Diceros bicornis minor: one gene and its partners. The protein of the gene in region 2 interacts with the protein of the main gene of each other region in a pairwise test. Links are inferred from orthologs where the notes say so. Each region holds a gene or a part of one and is shown on either strand. Other genes may lie near its edges. The genes, in order: SOS1, SH3BP5 and TNKS.

What was found.
Region 1: the proteins of SH3BP5 (region 2) and SOS1 interact in a two-hybrid assay, tested with the Homo sapiens proteins (2 studies listed by BioGRID and IntAct). The link is inferred for Diceros bicornis minor from reciprocal best matches to the Homo sapiens genes SH3BP5 and SOS1.
Region 3: the proteins of SH3BP5 (region 2) and TNKS interact in a two-hybrid assay, tested with the Homo sapiens proteins (2 studies listed by BioGRID and IntAct). The link is inferred for Diceros bicornis minor from reciprocal best matches to the Homo sapiens genes SH3BP5 and TNKS.

The regions. Positions count from the first base shown.
Region 1 is NC_080751.1:45,264,412-45,271,963, reverse strand, and holds the start of SOS1 (son of sevenless homolog 1), read right to left. Parts: upstream 3,021-7,552; 5' UTR 2,954-3,020; coding exon 2,867-2,953; intron 1-2,866.
Region 2 is NC_080741.1:21,849,918-21,857,513, reverse strand, and holds the start of SH3BP5 (SH3 domain-binding protein 5), read left to right. Parts: upstream 1-4,555; 5' UTR 4,556-4,677; coding exon 4,678-4,812; intron 4,813-6,552; coding exon 6,553-6,615; intron 6,616-7,596. UniProt on the Homo sapiens protein: Functions as a guanine nucleotide exchange factor (GEF) with specificity for RAB11A and RAB25. Inhibits the auto- and transphosphorylation activity of BTK. Plays a negative regulatory role in BTK-related cytoplasmic signaling in B-cells.
Region 3 is NC_080768.1:26,951,060-26,958,331, reverse strand, and holds the start of TNKS (poly [ADP-ribose] polymerase tankyrase-1), read right to left. Parts: upstream 3,080-7,272; 5' UTR 3,062-3,079; coding exon 2,389-3,061; intron 1-2,388.

The DNA of each region.
Region 1 (7,552 bases), on a different chromosome or scaffold from region 2:
CTTCATCCTATGCCCTCAAAAGACATCAACGGTTCTGAACAAGAGTGTGACGTGTTCAGAAGTGTACTATAACTTCTGAAATTTGAAAAATTGATAAAGGAGAGGTGAGGGGCAGTGAACTCAGTTAAGAGGTTATCACAGCAGTCTGGGAAAGGGGACTCAGAGCAGTTGGAGTAGGAGGGAATAGATTAGAAGAACATGTCAAAGTGGAATAAATCTACAGGCTGTGCCTGGATGTGGGCCGTAATGCAAAAGAGAGAAGTCCAAGACGACTCCAAAGTTTTGAACCAGTCAAATAAAATAAAGCCATTAATCAAGAGGGGAAATTTTTAAACAGAAGATGGAGGGCAGGGAGGTGATGGTTTTAGTTGGGTATTCCCTCACCCATTCGTTCAAACTTAAGTGCCTACTAGGTGTCAGGCACTGTATCAACGGAGGGTAAAATATCATCCCTGTTCTCAAGGACCATTCAATCTAGTTGGGGAGGGGGGAGGACAAGTAAATAGGAACTTAAAAATCATTGTTAAGTACTAGGTTAGGGTGCTAAAAGAAAATTTAAAAAGATTATCCAACTCGGCCCCAAGGATTTGAGGAAAGATCTGAGGACGAGCGAGTCTAGAAGGGTGAGAAGTGTTAGACCAGGCTAAGGGCAATCCAGGTGAAGAGAAGAGCATGTCCAAAGAGCCTCAGGTAAGATAACACAAGTTGGGCACATCTGCAAATACTGCAGCAAGCCCAAAAGAAGAGTTCAAGATAGTAGATATCCACATGAAATGTCTAGCAGGCAGGTAAAAATGCAGGTTTTGAGCTACCAAGAGCACATCCAGATATGAAATATATTTTCAACCTTGTCTTAGGTGGCTTAGAATTATCATTAGTGGATATTTTAAATAAGAATTTGGAGAACCTTACATATCAGCTAGATTCCACCTCCTCTCATCACTTTTACTGTTATACAAGGGTATCTCTGCTTAAAGTCAAAGCTGGGTTATGTAAATAAGCAGAGGACTGGTGGGGACTGTGTAAATTGAAGAGATGTGCCATGTCTAAAGAGGACAGTCATTTCCTCAGCTCCAGCAGTTTACTGCCTTGCTTGAATGCAGGCCCAATGTGGAGAGATCCTCCTATTCTTCAAGAAAAGCTGAAAATTCAGATTTTATGTAATATCTCCCATTTTTAAATATCGGCAACTAATTACATTAAAAATAAAACAACACCATGCCAGCCAAACAAAATGCTTCTGTGGATAGATTTCAGCAAGGGCCATCTTGAGTCTTGCTGCATTTATCAGTCTACGTGTGGCAGAGTTACATCTGGTCTGCCAACTCCTACAACGCTCTTTCCACTACTTCATAGGACCCTCAACTGATGGGTACGTTGGTGTTTACTCTGGGATAGGATATGCTTGCTTCTAAACAAAATAGCCCCAAACTGGTAGTGTTTTATGAGTTCTTTTGTATGTTTTCAACAATTTTTCTGTCTCCTCCCCACCGCGGCCCCACCTAGGTCAGGATACCTGCTTCCAGCATCACTGAGACCTCCTACTACCCTTCTATTACAAGCTAAGATGTCAAGTTTGCAGGTAAAGCAAAACTAAATAGCGTGAAAGCCTGACGGGATTACTAATGAATAAAGTATATACAGTATATGGCATCTCTTTGATTTTCCTAGAAAACAATATCACAGAGACGTTTGTGACTAGTCAGACACCTGAGGAAAAAAGTCAGTAACTTATATCTGAAATATATGACCAGTTTCTGCTAACAAACCAAATATTTTCCTCTGTAAAATACCAAGAGGGAGACAGGGAGGACAGGACAAAATGGAAAGTAAAAGTTGCTGGCCTTTGAGAAATATCAGACACCATTTAAGACACAGTTTTCAAAAGTATAAATGTTTAGAACAAAAGGTACACCATAATCTCAACTCTCAGCAGAATATATTTTAACCAGATAACATGAAACATTGTTTGAGGAACAAAAAATTGGGATGTAGAAACACTATTAAAAGAGTAAAGCAATCCTATATTTATAGAAAAGGTAAAAGGGAAACAAAAAATACTCTGGTTGTTTTTATGTTCATTCAAACACACAAGTTTCTGAATTAACTCACAATGTTGCTTTAGAAGCTTTTAAAATGTAGCAACATTTCCTAATTATACTAAAACATTTAAAAATACAGATCACAAGGTATTTAACTTGAGGTAACAATGTGGCAAACTTGAAGGAACACAGCCAGGTTGAAAATTCTAATCAACAAAACGAATGACAGCACCAAGATTCTCAGACTCTCACAAAAAGAAAAGAAAGAAAATAGCGGCATGTGCACCCACCCCGGTTAATCGGAGGAGCGAGGGAATTCAGAGGAATGAAGAGTGATTACCGAGGGCGAGCAGAGCAGGCCATGTTCCTGCTGGCAGGCGAGCTCTGCAATTACTTAGAGCAAGCATTATGGCCAGAGCATTCTCGAGCCCACTAAAACGAGCAGACTGGACACCTAAAACGGAGGCTGACAGCAGCTCCGGGTAAGACCGAGAAGGCGGAAAAGTGGCCTGCTTTGACCTCCACTGAAAACTGAGGCTCCTCCAACTCTCGTCTCTGAAGCAGGAGCAGGACTCTCAGGGGTTGATTATCCGGACAAACTCTCCCCGGCCTCCTGCGGCCTTCCCCCACACCGGGTGAACGTCAACCCCGGGAGGCAGCGCGTGCGGGGGAACCGCTCAGTGGGCGCCGTCCTTTCGCGGAGGCGGCGAGACCGAGAAGAAAGACGGCCCCGCGCGCGCCCCGCCTCCCCAGCCCTGCCCCGGCCCGGCCCGGCGCCCTCGCAGGGGCTGCAGCGGGGAAGCGGGCTCCCGCGCGCTCCTCACCTTTTTCAGCGCCGGCACCAGCAGCCCCCGCCACTTGGGCGCGTTCTCCTCGCTGAAAAACTCGTACGGCAGCTGCTGCGCCTGCATGGTGCCCCCGGGGCGCCTCTGGGCGGGGAGAGGGGCGGCGGCGGCCGGGCCGGGGAGCCGCGAGAGGGCGAGCTCGCAGCGCGGAACAGGGCCGCGGCCCCACTGGACGGCCCGGCCCCCTCGGGGCGCCGCGCGGCCGGGCTAGCCCTGGAGAGGGGGCTGCGGGGCGAGGCCCGCGCCCGGCCAGCCACCCGACACGGGCACCAGCCGCGGAGAGCGAACGCAGCCCGGAGGCGGCGGCGGCGGCATCCCGCACCACCGCCCCGGGGCCGGGCCCCCCCAACCCTCCCCGGCCCTCCGGCGCCGCCCCGGGCTGCCCTCCGCCGCGGCCGCCGCCCGCCCGGCTGCCGGGGTTGCGCGCTCGGGCCCGGCCTGGCCCCGCGGCGGAGCCCGCGGCTGGGGAAGAGCTTGTGGAGAGACGCTCCGGCCGCGGCGCACGCTCCGCGCCGCGGGAACCCCGATGAGCGAGCGACCCCGGGCGCGGCGGGGCGGAGCTGGGGCCGGGGTCTGGCGGGGGAGAGGACGGGCCCGAGGTCGGTGCTGGGGAATCTGCCTGCCCCAAGGTGCCGCCGCCGACGCCGGTGTAGCGCTCGAGCTTCCTACTAGCGAACTGAACCTGCTCGCTACTGAGCATGCGCCGCCGGGCAGGGCCGGTTCGCTCCGGGTTTTCCGGCTCCCCGGCGAAGGAGGAGGGAAGCGCGAGTGAGGGAGGACGCCCCGCCGGGCCGTGGCTGCGCCCCCCGGGGCTGCAGGGGAGGAGCGAAAGGGCCCGGATAAGTCGAACCCTGCCTGAGTGGGGCCTGCGAGATGGGGGGGCGTGGGGGGGGCGGGGTGAGAGCTACGGGGAAGCGGCCCCCATTGTGTGGTTGGGCCGCGAGAGATCCCACCCCTCTCTTGGAGTGCCTAGACCTTTCGTTTCGGAAAGGGGTGTGTATTTGTGTACTTTGTTCCTGAACATGAAGATAAGGACTGCCCAGAGCATGCAATGTATAGTAAACAGACTGGACAAAAGATAGGTGCCTTTCTCACGAAACCTACTGCTCAGTATTTGTCGGATAATGGAAGTGATTGCAATGTTTCCAATCTGTCTTTCCACATCACCAAGAATAAAATGTGTACGTGTAGTATTGATTTTGTGTGTTTTTTAGATTCAATATGTTCATCTTTCAAACCCACTTCAAATATGAACTCCAATAACCACCTACTTCCAGTGGAAATTGAGATCTCTTGCAGTTCCCAGATCACTTTACTCATGCCCCTCTCAGAGCATTTGGTTTATTATGTTTTGTACCTCTCCTGGCTCTTTCAACTAGATAAACTGCTGGAAGGCAGATATTTTTCACTAGGGGTTCTACACAGAATAGGCACTTAGTGAATGTTTGTGGAATGCCAAAGGAGCATTATCTAAACTCTTCCTCCATCCCAGGGATGCAGGTGTTTATAAGAGTGGTCATGTGTGGCCGGCTCCTCATGGTTTACCATTAAGCACTTTTTGAACATAATCTCATTTAATCCTCATAGCAATCCTATTGTTTTCATTTCACAGATGAGAAGACAGTTTAGAGGATGAGCCTGGATTGAAGTTGACATAGTACCCTGCTATTCCAGAGAATGATAACCAGGATCACATACCCGGCGGGCCCCCTGGCTTAGCGGTTAAGTGCGCCACCGGCAGCGCCAGAGTCGGATCCCCCGCGTGCACCCAGGCACCACTTCTCCCGCCATGCTGAGGCCGTGTCCCACACACAGCAACTAGAAGGATGTGCAACTATGACATACAACTATCTACTGGGGCTTTGGGGAGGGAGGGAAGGAGCAGGATTGGCAATAGATGTTAGCTCAGAGCAGGTCTTCCTCAGCAAAAAGAGGAGGATTAGCACAGATGTTAGCTCAGGGCTGATCTTCCTCAAAAAAAAAAACAAAAAAAACAGGATCACATAGAGGAGAAATGTTTAAGCAGTGGTAATCTCTACAAGACCTCTTGGAGAATCTCATAAGTCTTAGGTCCTTTTCTTTAAAAATGTACACACATGATTTACATTTAAAAATTCTCCATGCTTTCAAAGTGTTCAGAATGACATTTTGAAAATTATCCATTTTTTTTCTTACCTCTGGGTAAGAAGAGGTAGAGGAACTACAGCTTTGAGAGGAGTTGGGGACAGAAAAATGGGTCTCACGAAAACATGTCAGACATCTCTAAATATCTAAAAGACTGTAACATAGAAAAACCATATATGATATGGTTTGTGTGGTTCTAAACCAATGAACTAAGATCAAGCTTCCGCCCCAAATCCTTCTTGGGCTTCCCATTCTTCTTAGAATACCTTTCAAACTACTCACCATGGCCCACAAGCCTGCATCTGGCTCCTGTTTACATTCTCAACCTTTTCTCACCATTCTCAATCCTGGCTCACCACACTGCAGTCACACTGGCCTTCTGTCTATTCCTAGAAAACACCAACATCTTTCCTGCCTCGAGGGCTTTGATCTTCCCCCAGCCCGGAACTCTCTCTGCTCCTAACTGTTCACTTGGCTGGTTACAAACGTCACCACCTCCAACAGGCCACACTGATCACACCAAGTAGTTCCCACCTATGTATTTCTACCATAAGCCTCCGCTTATTTCCTTGCTCGCATAAATCACGGCCTCTAACTATTTTTAGTTGTTGGTTGCCCCCCAGTAGAATGGAAAACTCCAAGAGATCAACAATCTTATTCCTTCAAAAATATTTATCAAGCGCCTACTGTGTGCCAAGTAGTGTAGGTCCTAGGGATATGATGATGAACTAAAGTGGACACATAAAAGTTGGATGGAGGAAACTTCCAGGAAGACTACCTAATCGGAGTTGTCTCGGGAAACGGGCGATCTTCGGAGGTGTGCAAGTAAAAACCGTACATTCACTCACTCGGGATGTCGGGAAGGGTTAAGAGGTTGGACGTGATGACCTCCAAGGTCCCCTTCAACTTCGAGTCTCTGATGTGACTGCAGAGGTAAACAAGCCCTAGAAACATGGATTACACGCTGGGCTGGGCGCGCTTAGCAGCCGGGGCAGGTTCTCACTAGTATGGACTTTTTGGCCGCAGACTGAGAGCAAGCAGCTGGAGGGAAATTGCAGAGAAGAGACTCGGCGCTTCTGAGCTGAGCAACCAAAGGGGAGTGGTGCTGACCTCGGCGCCGCTAAGGTCAGGGAGCAGTCGAGCTCCTCTGCATCGTTTGCCTATATCTCTTGGGACAAATGAAAACACCTACAAGCGTGCAGCGAGAGAAGACAACTGTGGCGGACTCAGATACGTTCTACGGAAGCCAGGAAAGCTCCCTGGGCCCCTCAGCGTTAACCGCCGACTATTGCCCCGCGGCGCAGGCGCAGAGGTTCTGTTCGCGCCCCTACTCAGCTCTAAGGAGCCTGGAGCCAGAGCGGACGTGACGCACGGGGGGCGCGTCCAGGCGGACTAGCCGAGGCCCGAGATGAGCACGTCCAGGCGGGCTAGCCGAGTTCCGAGCGCGTAGCGTCAGAACCCGGGCAGCAGGGAAGGGGGCGGGGAGGGCGTTCGGTCCGTTGGCGCGCCCCCTGCAGGTGGGAGCGCAGCACTCCGCTCTTTTCCCCACGCCGCCGCCCCCAGCAGTCACAGGGTTGCCTCCTTCGCTGCCGCCACAATCATCTCCCTGAAGCAAACTTCAGATCCGGTTACTCTCCTGTTCAAGAGCCTCCACTGCCATCCCAAGATGAAGTCCAAAGTCCTTTGCTTGGTATTCATGGCCTTACACAATAGGGCCACTACTTATCTTCCCAGATATCTCTCTCACTGGAAATGAACTACTATTGCCTCCCATAAACCCATCATTTCTATTCGTCTTTGTTGCCTACATATGCTGTTCCGTCTGCCGGGAATGCCAATAACCGTTTTTGTCCAATCCCACCCGCCACAGCTGCACCTCACCGCCCATGTACACGCTCACCGTGGAACTCGCATCCACGCTGTCGCCCCCAGCTCAAATGTCACCTTCTCTCTGAAGACTTTCTCAGGCCCCATTCAGGATGCCTCCCCTTAAACAGGCATAAGAAACAGCAGTTTCAGCCATTAGCAAAGTCAAGGTCCTCTCTCTTCCAGCAGCTTATCTTCCCTTCATGCTTCTCCTCACCCTTTCTTCCCAATCCCTACTTGCAATTCCACTTCTCGAAACAGGATGTCCCCAGAAAATACACCAGAGAAAATAGTGGCTGATAAAACCACTGGATACGCACCCTTTAGCACCTTTAGTTAATACTTTGGTTCCCTCCCTCCCTCTCCCTCTTTTTTAAAATATTTTTTAATTTAATTTTTGAGGTAACACTGGTTTATAACATTATATAAATTTCAGGTGTACATCATTATATTTTGACTTCTGTGTAGACTTCACTGTGTTCACCACACAAAGTCTAATGGCCATCTGTCACCATACACATGTGCCCTTTTATCCCTTTCAGCCTCCCTCTCTCTCCTTCCCCTCTGGTAACCACCAATTTATTCTGTGGGTCTATGTGTGTGTTTGTTGTTGTTGTCGTTGCTTTATCTTCCACATATGAGTGAAATCATGCGTTATTTGTCTTTCTTCGTCTG
Region 2 (7,596 bases):
TGTCTCCTCCCCCCCCAGCTCCTCAGTGTCCCCGGGTCAAGTTCGCACACACTAGCCACAGTGATTACATGATCGCTCAGAATAAAATCTACACTCCTTACCATGTAAAGGCCCTCCATGGTCTACCCACCTGCAGCTCTCTGACGTCATCTCCCTCGCTCTCCCCCTTGCTGTCTCTGCTCTACCCATGCTGATCTCTGCTTACCCACCCACACCGTGAGCCCATTCCCTTCCCAGGACCTCTGCGCAGGCTGCTCCAGTTGCTGGAGTGATCCTCCCCTACAGGTACGTGTGGTTTGAGCTCTCATTTCTTTCAGGTCTTGGCTCAAAGTGCCCTTCTCGGGGAGGCCTTTGCCATAACCACACCTCGTCTCTCTCTCCGTTCCCTGCTTCGTTTTTGCCCTTAGCACTGATCACCCTGACGTATTATACATTGATTCGTTCATTCCCTCTCTCCTTCTACTAGAATGTAAGCTCCCTGATGGCAGGGAGTTTGTGTCTTTTGTTCGTAGTGGTACCCCTGACTTCTCGTATAGTGTCCAAATCATGTTAACTGCTCAATAAATATTTGTTGGATGAATGAATGGCATCTCATTTTCTACAGTCTGTAGTCCAAAGTTTTTAGCCTGGCATTCAAGGCCCTTGAGGACCTGCCCCAAACTATACTTTAGGCTTCATGCCCTGCTCCTTCCACTCCCCACCGTCCCTTCCTGGGTCCCAAGTCCGGATGATGTCCCGCCTTGCTGTTCCTGACCAGTCCATGATTGGTTCCATGAACCATGGTTCATCGGTTTTGTGGTCCATGAGGGGTTCCACGAACCCCTCCATGATTTCCTCCTGTTTTTTCCCCTATCTGGGAAGCTCTTTCTTTCTTTGGCAAAAACCTTCCTCCCTTGTTTGAGGAAGTTGTGTTTGTTATTCAAGGCCCAGTGTCAGCTTCTCTTTAACCCATCCTGGCCCTGCAGGCAGAACAGTGGGATGACTTCCGTGTTCCTGCCGAGTGTAACATGGCCCTTTTCAGTTGCCAGGAGGGAAAATGCTGCTCCCTTCACCTGGTTGATGGCCAGCACTCTCCCTCCTTCTGCCCTAAACTCAGTCAAGCGCTGTGACATCAGCACGTCGCCTCACTTCCTCTCATTCCTCCACTCTGGGGGGTTCATCAGGGTGGGGCAAAAAGACAAGTTTCTCTATTCACAAAAAGAGCTGAGGAGCTCAAAATGGATTAAAGACTTGAATGTAAGACCTGACACCATAAAACTCCTAGAAGAAAACATAGGCAGTAGACTCTTTGACATCGGTCTTAGCGGTGGCTTTTTGAATACCATGTCTACTCAGGCATGGGAAATAAAAGAAAAAATAAACAAATGGGACTACATCAGACTAAAAAGCTTCTGCACAGCAAAGGAAACCATGAACAAAACGAAAAGACAACCTACCAACTGGGAGAAAATATTTGCAAATCATATATCTGAAGAGAGGTTAATTTCCAAAATATATAAAGAACTCATACAACTCAACACCAAAAAATGGGCAGAGGATATGAGGACATTTTTCCAAAGAAGATACACAGATGGCCAACAGGCACATGAAAAGATGTTCTACATCACTAATTATTAGGGAAATGCAAATCAAAACTACAATGAGATATCACCTCACACCCCTCAGAATGACTGTAATTAACAAGAAATAACAAGTGTTGGAGAGGATGTGGAGAGAAGGGAACTCTCATACACTGCTGGTGGGAGTGCAAGCTGGTGCAGCCAGTTAGAGACCTGCAGGGGTCGCCACCCCAGACCTTTAGAGCTGCTGCTCCAGATCAACATGCCAGCTAAAATAAATATTAAGCATGTATCTGGCTTACAAGCCACTTAACACGGCTTGCCTTCTTAGTATGTGCAGTAGGCAGAATTCTAAGATTGGCCCATTTCCCACCATCCGGTGTATATACTCCTGTATAATTGTAGGAACTTGTGAATAGTTGAGATAGTCATGTCCACGATTAGGTTATGTATGTGGCACAGCTGACTTTAAGAATGGGAGACTTTTCTGGGTGGACCTGACCTAATCAAGTGAACACTTAAAAGGGACTGAGCTCTTCTTGAAGAAGAGACTGAAGTGTAACAGGGATTCAACACAAGTGAGATCTCTGTTGCTGCCTTTGAAAATGGAGGGGGCCACGTGACAAGGAATGCAGGCAGCCTCCAGCAGCTGAGACTGGCCCTTGGCTGACAGTCAGCAAGGAAACGGGCACCTCAGTCCTACAACCACAAGGAACTGAATTCAGCTGATAACCTGAATGAGCTTGGAAGGACTTTTTCCTCAGAGCCTCCAGAAATGAATGCTGTCTGGCCGACACCCTGATTCAGCCTGGGGGACCCTGAGCCCAGAACCTAGTCATGCCGTGCCTGAACCTCAGACCTAGAGAACTATGAGATAATGTGTTGTTTTAAGCTGCTAAATTTGTGGTAATTTGTTACACAGCAATAAAAAACTCATACAGTATGTATTATTTTAAATTTATTCTTAAATTATACAAATAATTATAAATATATCCTCCTTGTAAAAAATGAAAACATTATTGAGAGATTAGAAGTTTCCTCTGACCATCCTAGCCAATCCTGGGCCCCTCCCTACCCCCCTTTCCCAGGGGTAGTACTCTTTGTTGGGTCTGAAGTCCTTCTTCCAGACCTTTTTCTAGGCATTTATGTGCATATATATGTACCAATAGAAAATATATCGTATTGCTGTGGTTTGTTTATTTTCCTTATTTTAACTTCAGATCACTATTGGGATCAACACTATAGCTGGCCAGGTCTCCTAAAAATAAGACAACTAAAATCTGAACTCAAGTTCTAGAGCAGTTTCCCTGTGTCCCATGAAGGCGTTTTGAACCACTCTATTGCGCTTAGATCTAAGTTTAAATAGAAATGTGTTTTAGAGGCAGTTGTTTAGAATGGTGAGGCTGGGGTTCCACCAGCTGAGAAGCATTGAGAGTCAGGGCTGACCTCACATTTCTGGTTTTCCAGCTCAGTCTCAGTGGATTCACAGCTAGGATGAACCTGCTCAGTTATAGGCTCAATTCCCAGCCACCAGGGAAACAATGGTGACTCTTGTGTCCCAAAGTGACCCTAGTGACCATCTTGTCCTGGCCTTCATCCATCAGTAGAAAATCAAAAGCAACAGTCTTTAGCAAGGAACTTCAGAACATCTCTCCAAGAATTGCTGACTCTTCCTTAAAGAACAATGAAGAGGTTTGAACTTTCCAAAACAAACGTATAGCATACACCTATATTATGTCCAGGAGACAGGATGAATCTCTTTTGATGGTGGACCACAGTGCCAGCATATATAGGGTGGTACCTTACCCAAGGAGTAACCCTCTAAATTAGCTTCTGATAAAACCATCAGAAGCAGGTTTTCAAGGTGGCTTAACGATGGGATCTCAGAAAGAAGCTCCTTTCTCAAGCAAGTTTGTCCTCCAAACTCACAGAGCCAATCGGCCGTAAGCCTCTGTGTAGATGTGTACGCTTTCTGCATTTTTGTAGTGAAGGAGACATTAGCAGTGGCCAGTGGCAATGTCCTTGCCTGCTTTGCTAAGGTCATCTGACCTTGTGCTCCCCTGACATCACAGTGGCCATGACATTTCATAACAGCACAGACATGCCCCTTCGTTCTTTGCACTTTAGTGATGTCGAGTTTGCCAGGCAAGCTCTGCCTCCCTACTTACTCAGGGTGGGCAGGAAACCTCACCAGTTCATAAATCCTTGGACAGGGTGTACCCATTAACAGAGGTAACACTTAGCCCCTCCTTGAAAAGACTGTACCCACCCACCCACCCACATCCCTGATCAATGGATTTTCCATGCTTCCTGGCTATTCAGGTAGGACCATGCCACAACACTAACGCACAGCTGTTTGGGTGTGGAGCTCTGCCCAGCGCGGGTCACAAACTTTGGACAAAGAATCCGCGCCTGGAGCTGCAGCTGGCTCCCCTTTCTGTACTTTATGTCAATGTGAGCACGTTACAGTTGCCTTTTCTGGGGAAATCTTCAAGTACATAGATAGAATTCCCAAGATTCAACCAAGGGGAGAAACGTGCTTTGGGTGTATACAGGGGTTTGAGGAGTCTTGAAACTGGCCCAGGGTCACTGAGTACAGGCTTCTAAAGGTGATTTCAGAGACTGGAAATACCCCAAACTTTCCTTCCATACAGTCAATTCGCCTGGGCCGAGGAGGGAGGGAGAAAGCTGCCGGGAGAGTAGGTGGCCAATGTTGGGTGGTTTGTGATATTCGGGCTGCTAAGAAGGGGTGAGGGCTCTCCTATTTCCCCACGCTAGAGGATTTCAGAGGGCTGGGGTTTTTGTGACGGAGGCCTGGGTAACTGGGACCTGCCGAGGAACAGTCGGAGGCGCGCGGAGGGCGGCCCGGCGGGACGAGGGCGGAGCGGGCGCCGCTGCGCTGACAGCCGCGGCAGAAAGGGGGCGGCCGCGCCCATTTCCTCCGCTCCGCCCGCGCCGGACGGATCCGCATCGGCGAGCGGCGCCTCCCGGGTGTCGGCCCCGGCGGCTCCCGACCGTGCCGGGCTGTGGCGAGACAGCTCCGGCCGAGCCTGCGGCGAGTCGCTGCCCCTCCGGACGCTCCGAAGTCCCCCGCGCGGTTCGCATTCCGGCTGCCCGCATGGACGCGGCGCTGAAGCGGGGCCGCTCGGAGGAGCCGGCTGAGCTCCTGCCGTCTGCCCGGGACTTGGAGGAGGAGGAGGAAGAGGGGATGGAGCAGGGGCTGGAAGAGGAAGAAGTGGACCCCCGGATCCAGGTAGGGCGCGCGGGGGGCGCCCCGGATCCCGGCATCTACACTTATACCTGTCCCGCAGCCCCCAGTGCCTGCGTTCCGGGGAGGTGGTGGCCACGTAGGTCTGGGGGCGAGAAGAGAGCGTCTAAATACTCCGTTTCACCTGGTTCATGGGGAGGCTGCAGTGCCCGCGTGGATGCGGCCTGACTCTATTGTGGGGCTCCCCCTCGCAGACCCCTGGCAGGATCCGGGGGTCGCCGCAGCGTGCCCAGCGTTTCGGGCGGATGTGCAACAAAGGGAAAAAGGGGGCGGGGGCGCCATGTGGGTATCGGGGTACCCCCGGCTAGGCTCGCGGCGCCGCAGGCATTGCACGGCTGCCTGGCCCCGGGAGGAGGGGTGGGCCGGCCAGGGTGGGCGCCCGACTCCGTGGGCGGGTGGGCGAGCTGGGCAGGGTGGGCGTTGTCCGCCCCTGCAGCGTGGGCTGGCACCGGTGCCCTGGGTTTGGAGTCCCCACCTGGCGGAGGTGCCCGGCCCGAACCATATTCCTCCTCCTCTGATTCATTGTTAGCAAACTGAAGGGTTTATTGTCACCACTGGCTCAACCCTCCGCTTGGCCTCAGATGCTTTAAAGCCCAGCTTTTCCTTGTTAGGAGGCCGGGTGTGAACAGAAATCAGGGGCAACTGATGCGCAGAGCTGATGCGGGGAGAAGGCGAGGGGATTGGCCTGGCTTTCTGTGCCTCCATTTCTAAGGTAGATGATTAAAAAACAATTTCCAAGCCGAGATCTAGGAGTGACAGTTTAACCTCTTCACCCTCGAAGCAGAAAGCACAGCAAATCCCCTTTCCAAGACTCATTTTTCTACCCTTTCCATAAATCTTTTTTTTTTTTTTTAAATATTGCTTTTAAGCATGCTCTGCAATTTCTGGAGCCCTAATTGGTTTTTCAGTGCACAGGTCAATTAAAAGCTCATTTAATTCAGCTGTTGCTGTTTAAATGCATTGTTTTGGCAGATTAGCAAGATAAAGATCAGGTGGAAAAATCTTTGCATTAGGAATTCTATTTAAAATAATCAGTTTGGACTACTAAATCTTGTTTTCTTGGTACAGGAATTCTGTTAACAAGACCCTTTGTTTGTAGAATAAAATGAGTTAACTTCATGCGGGTACTTTTTACAAAGGTCAGTTTGTACATGTTTATTTAAAAGATCAGGATTAAAGCTAATTTTTTTATTAAAAAAAAAAACCAGCTAGGTAGGTTGAATAATAGGCAGTTTGAAAAGATTTTCATCTGTACAGAAAAATACTCAACTGCTGATGAATCAATGCCAGAATTCTGTCCTTGACTAAATCATTTCATTAGGTTTATACTTTTGGGTTGGCCTTGTTTATTTTCTATCATTGTCTTTTCTGCAAATTCTTGCTCTATGGCAGAAGGTACTGTTTTGATTTGGCCCCTACACCATTTGTAACAGGTGGGTTTACCTGAAGGCACATACCTGGAATAAATATTTGCCCGTTTAAGAGAAGACAAGTTCCTAGGACCTTAAGACATTTTCAAAAGGGACACCATCAAGAAAAAGGCTCCAGATATGCTGCCATTCCTTTGCTCTTCTAGCCAAGGCTTAACTATTTTCCTTGAGAATTATCTGAGTCCTCCCTCTTCCTACAAATTGTCCTGGAGTAATTCTCCAGGTAATGGGCTGAGTCATACCGGAAACAAAAGATGAAGCCCTTAAATCTTTTTTTCTGTCTTTTCTTCCTTAGGGAGAACTGGAGAAGTTAAATCAATCCACGGATGACATCAACCGACGGGAGACTGAACTTGAGGTACAGAAAGCTGGGTCCCTGTTGTTGGTGAGGTGGTGCAGTCCCGCTGACACCAGGCTGGTTAATTTTGTTTTAATAGCTGGCGTCCCCTCCTCGGAGTTGAGCAACAGCCTGCTGTCTGACAGAATAAAATACACCACTGAGCCCAGCTTGTGGGTGGAACACATGTGGATCCAATTTCACATGTTGTTTTTCATCATGGAAGCTCTGTGGGGCCAAAACCAAGAGCTTTACACTCACGGAAGCCCTAAAGTTAACGCGTCTGTGGAAAAGCTGGATGGACTGGGGGGAAAATTAGCTGAACTCTTTAGTGGAGAAGAATGAATGAGCTCATAAAAATCTCTTAAATATTTTAGGGCAGTTCCTTTTTTTTTTTTTTTTTTTTTTTTTTACCTTTCCTGCACTAATAATTCACCCCTTTCCACTTCCCTGCTCATTTCTTTAGTGTCTGCTTGTGTGTGGAATATAATTATCTTAATGGTAAGGAAAAGCTGTTTAGACTGCGAAGAGCTTTCCTGCTGGGAAAAATCTTGGGAGACTAGAAGTTGATTTGAATTTCATGAGCATCTTTCAACCTGAGTGTAAACAGATTAGCATTCTTCACAGCCACCAATTAGTCCCCATCCCTTTTCAGTGGTGGTTGGTTTTACCCCATCAGCAAATATGAACAAACCCTGCATATATCTGAGAGCCTGTGAATAACTCTGTCAGAGAGCTGAAGGAATGCAGGGAGCTGTTGGGAGGACCTGTTTCTGTAGCAGAAGAAATGGTAGGGAAGGTGAACAGGAAGGGCAGGAAACATCTGGTCCCTGGAGTGTGGGAGATAGGAATATAATCTATCATCAATACAATGGCAGCCTTGATTTCTGACTGCATGGCTAGGCCCTGGAGGTACCAAATCTGGAAGTGGCGATGGGGATTAAAAGCTTGCTGCTCCGGGCTGTGTATGAAGGGTTATGCTAACCCATCTATTCTGACTGT
Region 3 (7,272 bases), on a different chromosome or scaffold from region 2:
CATGACAATTCAATGACTAGCATCTCAACCAACTAACAGTCAACAACTGACAATTACTTTTAATTACTCAGCCCTACTCATGTGGAGAAGACTAGATTTAACAAAGCTTTAATGCTATGTACACAAACATGCAAGTATAGTAAATTGACTACAGGGTGTTATGTTTTTAGACCATGGAGAGTTTTACTGTTGTCTGTTTTCCACAATTGAACTAAAAAGAATTTTTTCTCTAAAAAAGCCAGTTCAAGGTTAGGTTCTCATAACTACAACATAATTACAAGACTGTTTCACTGTGTGTCTTCTAGCTTATCTGGGTACACATAAAACTCTAAAGCAGAATAAAAACTATTGTGGCGTGACTTGGGAGACAAGCACGATTTTATGTGTGACTAATCCTAAATAAGTACATTATTACTCAACTAAATATAACTAACTATCATCTGTTAGTGATCACTTATAATGCAGTATAGTGAGGAATGACGAGATTTGTGAAACAATGTGTTAAAACAGTCAAATTTGGAATAAAGTATGCAAAAGTAAACAACTTCGGTTGATTTGTAATATCAGACTTAGGCTTTTCATTTGGCCTAAAGAAAAACATGCTATTTCACCTAAAATAAGCAATACCCTTGAGCAAATATCTACTTAGATGTAAGCCTGTTTATGATTCAATTCACCACTTTCCTAATAGTAGTGTCTAGATATCAAGTACAGATCCAGTGATCTAATAATGATTTCCTGTAAGTGTTTCTCATATTGCTGATGACCCATTAATGGATCACAAACAGCATTTGTAAAAAGCACAATGGACTAGGATATAAAATATCGCAATACAACACATGTAGTAAGGGAAAGCATGGTTTCCTAAAACTTTTGATTAAGTTTGTGTGAGTGTGTGACAATGTAAAATATATTTCCAAGTTTGGGCTGCAATAAAAAATGTGTGAACGCTCCTCTTGGAGTATATGGCCCCAATTACGTCTTCCCCCAAAACACTGCGAAAGTAGAAACCCTCCATCACAATTACTCACAAAAATGAAAAGTGACCTTAACCCAGGTATAGATTAGAACAGTTTAAGCTTGATTTCACAAGCTCTAAAATCAAACTGAGTTCAAATTCAGGTTCCACTACTTGCTCTGTGAACCTGAAGATATGTATGTGCTTCACTTTGGCATCTGTAAAATGAGAATAATAATATCTTCCAAGTTGTGGTAAAAATAAATAATACAGATAATAAATTATTAATATATGTTTTACTATTAACAGAACAAATTGAAGAAGTGATATATATATTAGAAACATAGCAAGAAAATTTACAGAAGGTATCTTTGGCGTGTTATCTTTGATTCGTGCGGGTTGGGGGGCTTTTTCATTTTGTATATTTCTGTCCTATACAAACTTTATAATGTATATATAACATACATTTCTAATGTATATAACATTATTACTTTTATTTTTTAAAATATCAATAGTAGATATCTGGGCAGTGAGATTATGGTCCTCTGTTTTTGTTTTATATTTCTCTGTATTTTTATAAAAATATATTAGATGTTTTTAAAAGAAACTGGTCAACTACTTATTCAAAAAAGAAAAAGACAAAAGTGTGTGGTCCAGGGTTTAGGAATTAGCATTTTTTCTGAAGAACTTATGTGCCAGACGCTTCTCACTAAATCATCACTCAACCTTAGTATATCATTGTTGCCCATGAGAAAACCGAGGCAACTGAGATTGCCTGTTAGACAACAAATAGCAGCGCCCAGAACTTCCAAACCTGTATTTCTTTTGCCATCACATAATGCATCCAAATATTCTTCTCCAGTTGTTTCATATAAGCATATTTTGATCTACCCAATTAGAGTGAAAAATCCCTGAGAAAGGGGAAAAGTTTCACAACTTCATTTATGTCTTCTATTGGCTTACTAAGACTACGATATACGATAGATCCTTAAACACTTGCTGAGTTACATTAAACTTCTTTTGGTCTCGACTGTCCTCATGGGACATATTTTTCTTGCAAAAATGAAATAAACTAGCAAACAAACTACGAAACTACTCTAAGACTGCTCAAACCTAACTTTATTCCTACACACGCGGAACTGAAAAAGTTTAAGTATACCAATACCCAGAGATTACCACTAAAGGAGTTTGGGAATGAGAACAAGTAACGCTGTACAAACACTAAAAAGAATGGATTCACACATGCCCCCACCACGCCCCCATCACCCAGGCACTATCTAAAGAAAGGAACCTCTAATTTTCCGGTGAGGTGTTGAAGAGCCATAACCACGCCCCCATTTTGTTCCATCATAATAACTTATTTTCTTTCCCTACCCCGACCCCCGTCCCCAACACCAAAACCCTTAATAAACAATTCAAAAGTCTCTGACCTGCAGCGAAGTGCAGGGGAGAAGACTTCCGGCCGGCCATGTCCTTAGCATTCACGTTTGCCGCGTCCACCAGCCTCTTTACCCGGGACACGTCCCCATTGCGACAGGCCTCCAACAGTTCCCGTAGGGCCCCGCTCACTGCTGGGACCCCTGACCCAGGTCCCGCTGTCCCAGGCCCCAAGGTTGCTGTGGTGCTAACTCCGGCCGCCTCAGGGCTCTCTGCCAAGCTGGATCCAGGGGAGGATGGAGAGGAAGAGGAGGAAGAAGTCGGGGAAGAAGAGGACGACGGTGAATTGTTACTACCACCGCCGGCTGAGTTGGGAGCGACCCCGACGGCAGATGAAGCAGAAACCGCCGGGACCACGGGAGCGGCGGCGACGGCACAGATTGTGCTGGTGGTACTGCAACAGCTGGTACTGTCAACCGGGTCCGGGGATCGGGGCCTGTCGGGCGGATCCCGACTGCCATCCCCCTCCGGCAGCGCTAGGCCGTGCCGCGGGGAGGCGAAGGGGGCCAGGCCACCCGCCGTGGGGGAGGCTGGGGTGGTCCCCGGGGCCAGGCCGGGGCTGAGGGGCGGGGGAGGTGGCGGCGGCGGCGCCGAAGCCCCTGGGGCGGGCTGGAGCTGTTGTTGATGATGGTGGTGATGATGCTGAGAGCGACGCGACGCCGCCATCTTCGGACTCCCCCAGCACTGTCACTGCGGCAACGGCCCCACCGCCCGCCCTCACTTCCGACGGCGGGACCAATCAGCACCCAGCGCACAGGAAATGATGCTAGGCGGAGTGGGCGGGGTCAAAGAGAAGGAGGGAAGCCTTGGGAGCTCACAGAACGGCCAGAGAAGGGGGCGTGGCTTTGTGACTTAGGGGCGGGCTCTGTGACGCCTTGGCGGGCCGGCTGGGGAAATTTGAAACCTGGAACTAGCCTCTGCCTAAATGGGAAATTTTCCTGCATTTCTCGCTTTCAGCTTGCTTACCTTGCCCTGCTCTGTTCTGTTGCCAAGTCTCCTTCAGTCTTCCTTATCTTGCTCCAGAGCCAGCTACTGAGATGTAACTGAGGGCAGGAAGAGATATCCTTTATCATCTATCAAGTGTCCTCGTCTGAAAAATGGAATAGTACCTACCTCATAGAATTGTTAGCGGAATTAAATAATCTAATGTATACAAAGCGCTCTAACCCTATATTTAGCCCATTGGTTTTTTTAAATGCAGTCTCCCTCCCCCCCCCCCCCCGCCCCCGGTTATTTCCTTGGTCTCTATGTCCCCAGTCTGTAAATTTTTTGACTCTATGTACTTTGTTAATACTCCATTTTAAAATAGTGGTTCAGATTGCCAGGATTGGAATTCAAGCTCTGCCATATACTAGCTGTGTAAATTGGAACAAGCTATTTAACCACTCTGTGTATCAAGTTCCCCTCTGCAAAATCGAATTAATAGTTCAATAATTAACTATTAAAATTATGTTTTATTCTATTCTATTATCTCTGTACTTTTATTTCTCCCCTTAAGCTTGACTCAAATAAGTGGAATGTTCCTTTCTTTTGAATTATTTTTAGCTGAACCTCTCTTCTCCTCCATTCCTCTCACCCCTCTTCTGTCCCCTCCCAAACTACAATAAAAACCTGACTACTATTCATCACTTACCTTTAGATGCCATTCTTCAACGACTACTTTTTCTCTCTTCCCTCTGCCTATATCTACTTTTTTTGTCTGCCATCAAAAGAGATGTATCAGTGCATGGTATGATCTCAGTGAGGTCTCCATTTCCTGCCTGCTGTTAAATAAAGTAAACTAGGCAATGTGGCAGTTTAGACAAACAGCACTATTCCAATAGAGTGGACAGAGACAGAGATTCTGTCTTAAGAAAAATACAAGATTTAGATGGGCCAAGTAAAAAGTTAGCATTGTAGAATATTGAACCAGGTGATAAATTGTGGTTTCACATGTTCATTATTAAATATAATTAGTGTGATGTTAATATTCCCCTCTAAATAAATCAGTTTATTTAGGACTACCCTCTAAATACAAGGTCAGGAACATAGTTAATATTATGAGTGACATTTATTGTCACCTAATGTGGGGTTACAGATTATAACTCTAACATTATCCACCTGTTTTATAAATTTGTGTCATTGTTAATTCAGAAATTAACAGATCTGTGGCTGGATAGGAAAACTCCATCAGTGCAACTAAAATCTGTCTACAACACACATTCTCCTGGTTCTGAATCTTAAATTAATGCACAGCACAGGATAGCATTGAGGAGTGGGGGTAAATCAACAAGATACATTAGATGTCCATAACTCACCTTGTGCGGTCTTGACTACAGCCTTCTCCCTTAATGGGGAGGCATAAGGAATGATCTCACCCGGTCCCCTGATGGCCAGTTACTCATAAATCACAAGAAGAAGTAGTAATATTCACCCTAATTCAAAATGCATCTATTGTGTTTGTTTATCAGTACAAAATAAATTTGTACCGAAAATTTCTGCTGGATAGAGGTAAAAAGGCTGAATTGCCTTAAACTACTCTACTGGTACAGTATGTCTGAAAATGCGTTCGATCAATTAGAAATTGCTTTTTTCCCCTCCAGTGGAAAGTAGTAAAAGTACTTAACATTAAGTATTTATGAGGTTTAGGTTTACATGGATTAAAAATGTTGAACTCTAAACATGAAAGGGCAGATACCATTACCTAATCTTTCACAGCTAGACACAATTCCATGAAGGATGCACTATACCCTTGTGAAAAGAGCAAAGCTTGGAGTCAAACAACATGGGCTTGAATACATCTCTGATAATTACTAGTTGGCTAATCTTGGTGGATAAGCTTCAGCTCTGTTATTCTAAAATTCTGCTTTTATTGTAGCATTGTTGTGAGGATTAAAAGACCTAGGTGGGGCCAGCCCGTGGCATAGCAGTTAAGTGCGCGCGCTCTGCTGCTGGCACCCCAGTTCGGATCCTGGGCGCGCACAGAGGCGCCGCTTGTCAGGCCATGCTGTGACAGCGTCCCATATAAAGTGGAGGAAGATAGGCATAGGTGTTAGCCCAGGGGCAGTCTTCCCCAGCAAAAAGAGGAGGATTGGCATGGTTGTTAGCTCAGGGACGATCTTCCTCACAAAAATATAAATAAATAAAGTATATTGTTTAAAAAAAAAACAAAGACCTAGGTGTTTTGTAAGCACTCCTTGAGTGTTAGTTTCATTCTCTTATGTGGCATACATAAAATGTTAATGGGAACTGATAGCCACTATTGATAGCTATCTCCTCATAAATTCCTTTATGACAAAGATAGTGACTGGGAATAAATATTCACCATTTTACGTGTAACAGGAATCTTAAGCAAAGAAAGATCAGGTTTAATTGTTGCCTCATCTGAAAATTCAAGGTTCTATACTGGCCCTGACTATCCCCAAGAATTGTTGCTGAGGATCATAGTTGTGTAGCCTCTTATCACTTCCAAAAATGTTTTCAAAAAAACCCATGTCCATGTGGTAAAAAACGTGAGGACACAGCACCCTCTTAAGCCGTATTGTTGACACAAAAGAAAGAGCCACCAACTCAAAGAGCGCTCACCATCTGGACTGTGTTGTGTTTGTTTTTTCCCCCGTGGCAATCATATGGACACACTTTGTAAGTTACGCAATCACAAACTTGTGTGGTCTCCATATTTCAATTAGACTTGGTGTGGTTATTCTATCCGTATACTTCTCTTTGATCTGCCCCAGATCCAAGTTCACTGGTAGTATCTTGGGTCTACTAAATCCACTTATTCCTCGATGCTCTGTGCAATGCCTCTGCAAATTCAAAAGCACAAGGCTAGAGCTATAGTTTGGCTGAGGCAGTGCCGTCTCTTCACCTTGACCTTAGAGGATAAGTTACTCTTATGTCAGAAATGCCCTTGGTGCCAAGGGCCCGATTTCGCTATGAAGGTATTACTAAGCTAAGAGAAATTTTAGCTGAAGTTCCATCCAGAAACTCAGGAGACTCTTCTGTTAGAAACCATAGCTGGGCAACAATTCCAACAGCTGCAATCATGCTAACCGCGTTGCATCGGAAAAAGTTTTATTAAAAGAAAAAGCAAAACAACTTACTACAAGGCAGGAAAATTACAGTAATTTAAAACTCTCCTATATATTAGTTTATTAGCATTCCCCCATTGAAATTTTCAGTTGCTTTAAAATATCTCTTACGTAGCAGAGTCCTCTGGATGCTGTTCCCGAGATATCCATAGTCTGCCCTCTGATAACTTGGATATTTTTCTGGTAAGGTCTGTACGCTTGGGAGTAGTCAGTTCAACATGAAATGTTAGCTCCAGGAAGAGAGGCAATATAAGGAATGTGGGTTCTGCATTTAGACTGCTTGGATATGAATCCTAGCTTTGTCACTAACTTGCTGTGTGTGATTCAAGGATGCCCCATCCTACATTGTAACAGGGATAAATAAAAACCTATTTGCTGAACTTAAAAAAATGGTAAACAAGCTTTCCCACCAAAAACATTCCTTTTCTTAAGTATTTTTTCCAAAATTAATTGAAATCATACATATATACTCCATTAAGGATGAGCATATAGCTTCCTCACTCACAAGAGATAAACACCTGCTACTCCCCCAAAGTCATAAACAAGTTAGAAAAGTTCCGAAAGTTCTGGAATGTATTGACAAGGAAGGGTGTAACTAGCCAACAGTGCATCTGTAATGATGTAATGGCTTATGTAACTGTGGGTGTAGCCAATCAGATTAGGGCTGATGTAACTGCAAACCAATAGATTGTGAGGCAGGCCCAGGGTGCTCAGCCTCCCCCATCAGAACATAGGGCCAGCCCGCCGAGCCGCGATGAACGTTGACCCCTGCGACTGTCTGAGGGGTTGCGGACTACCACATACTGA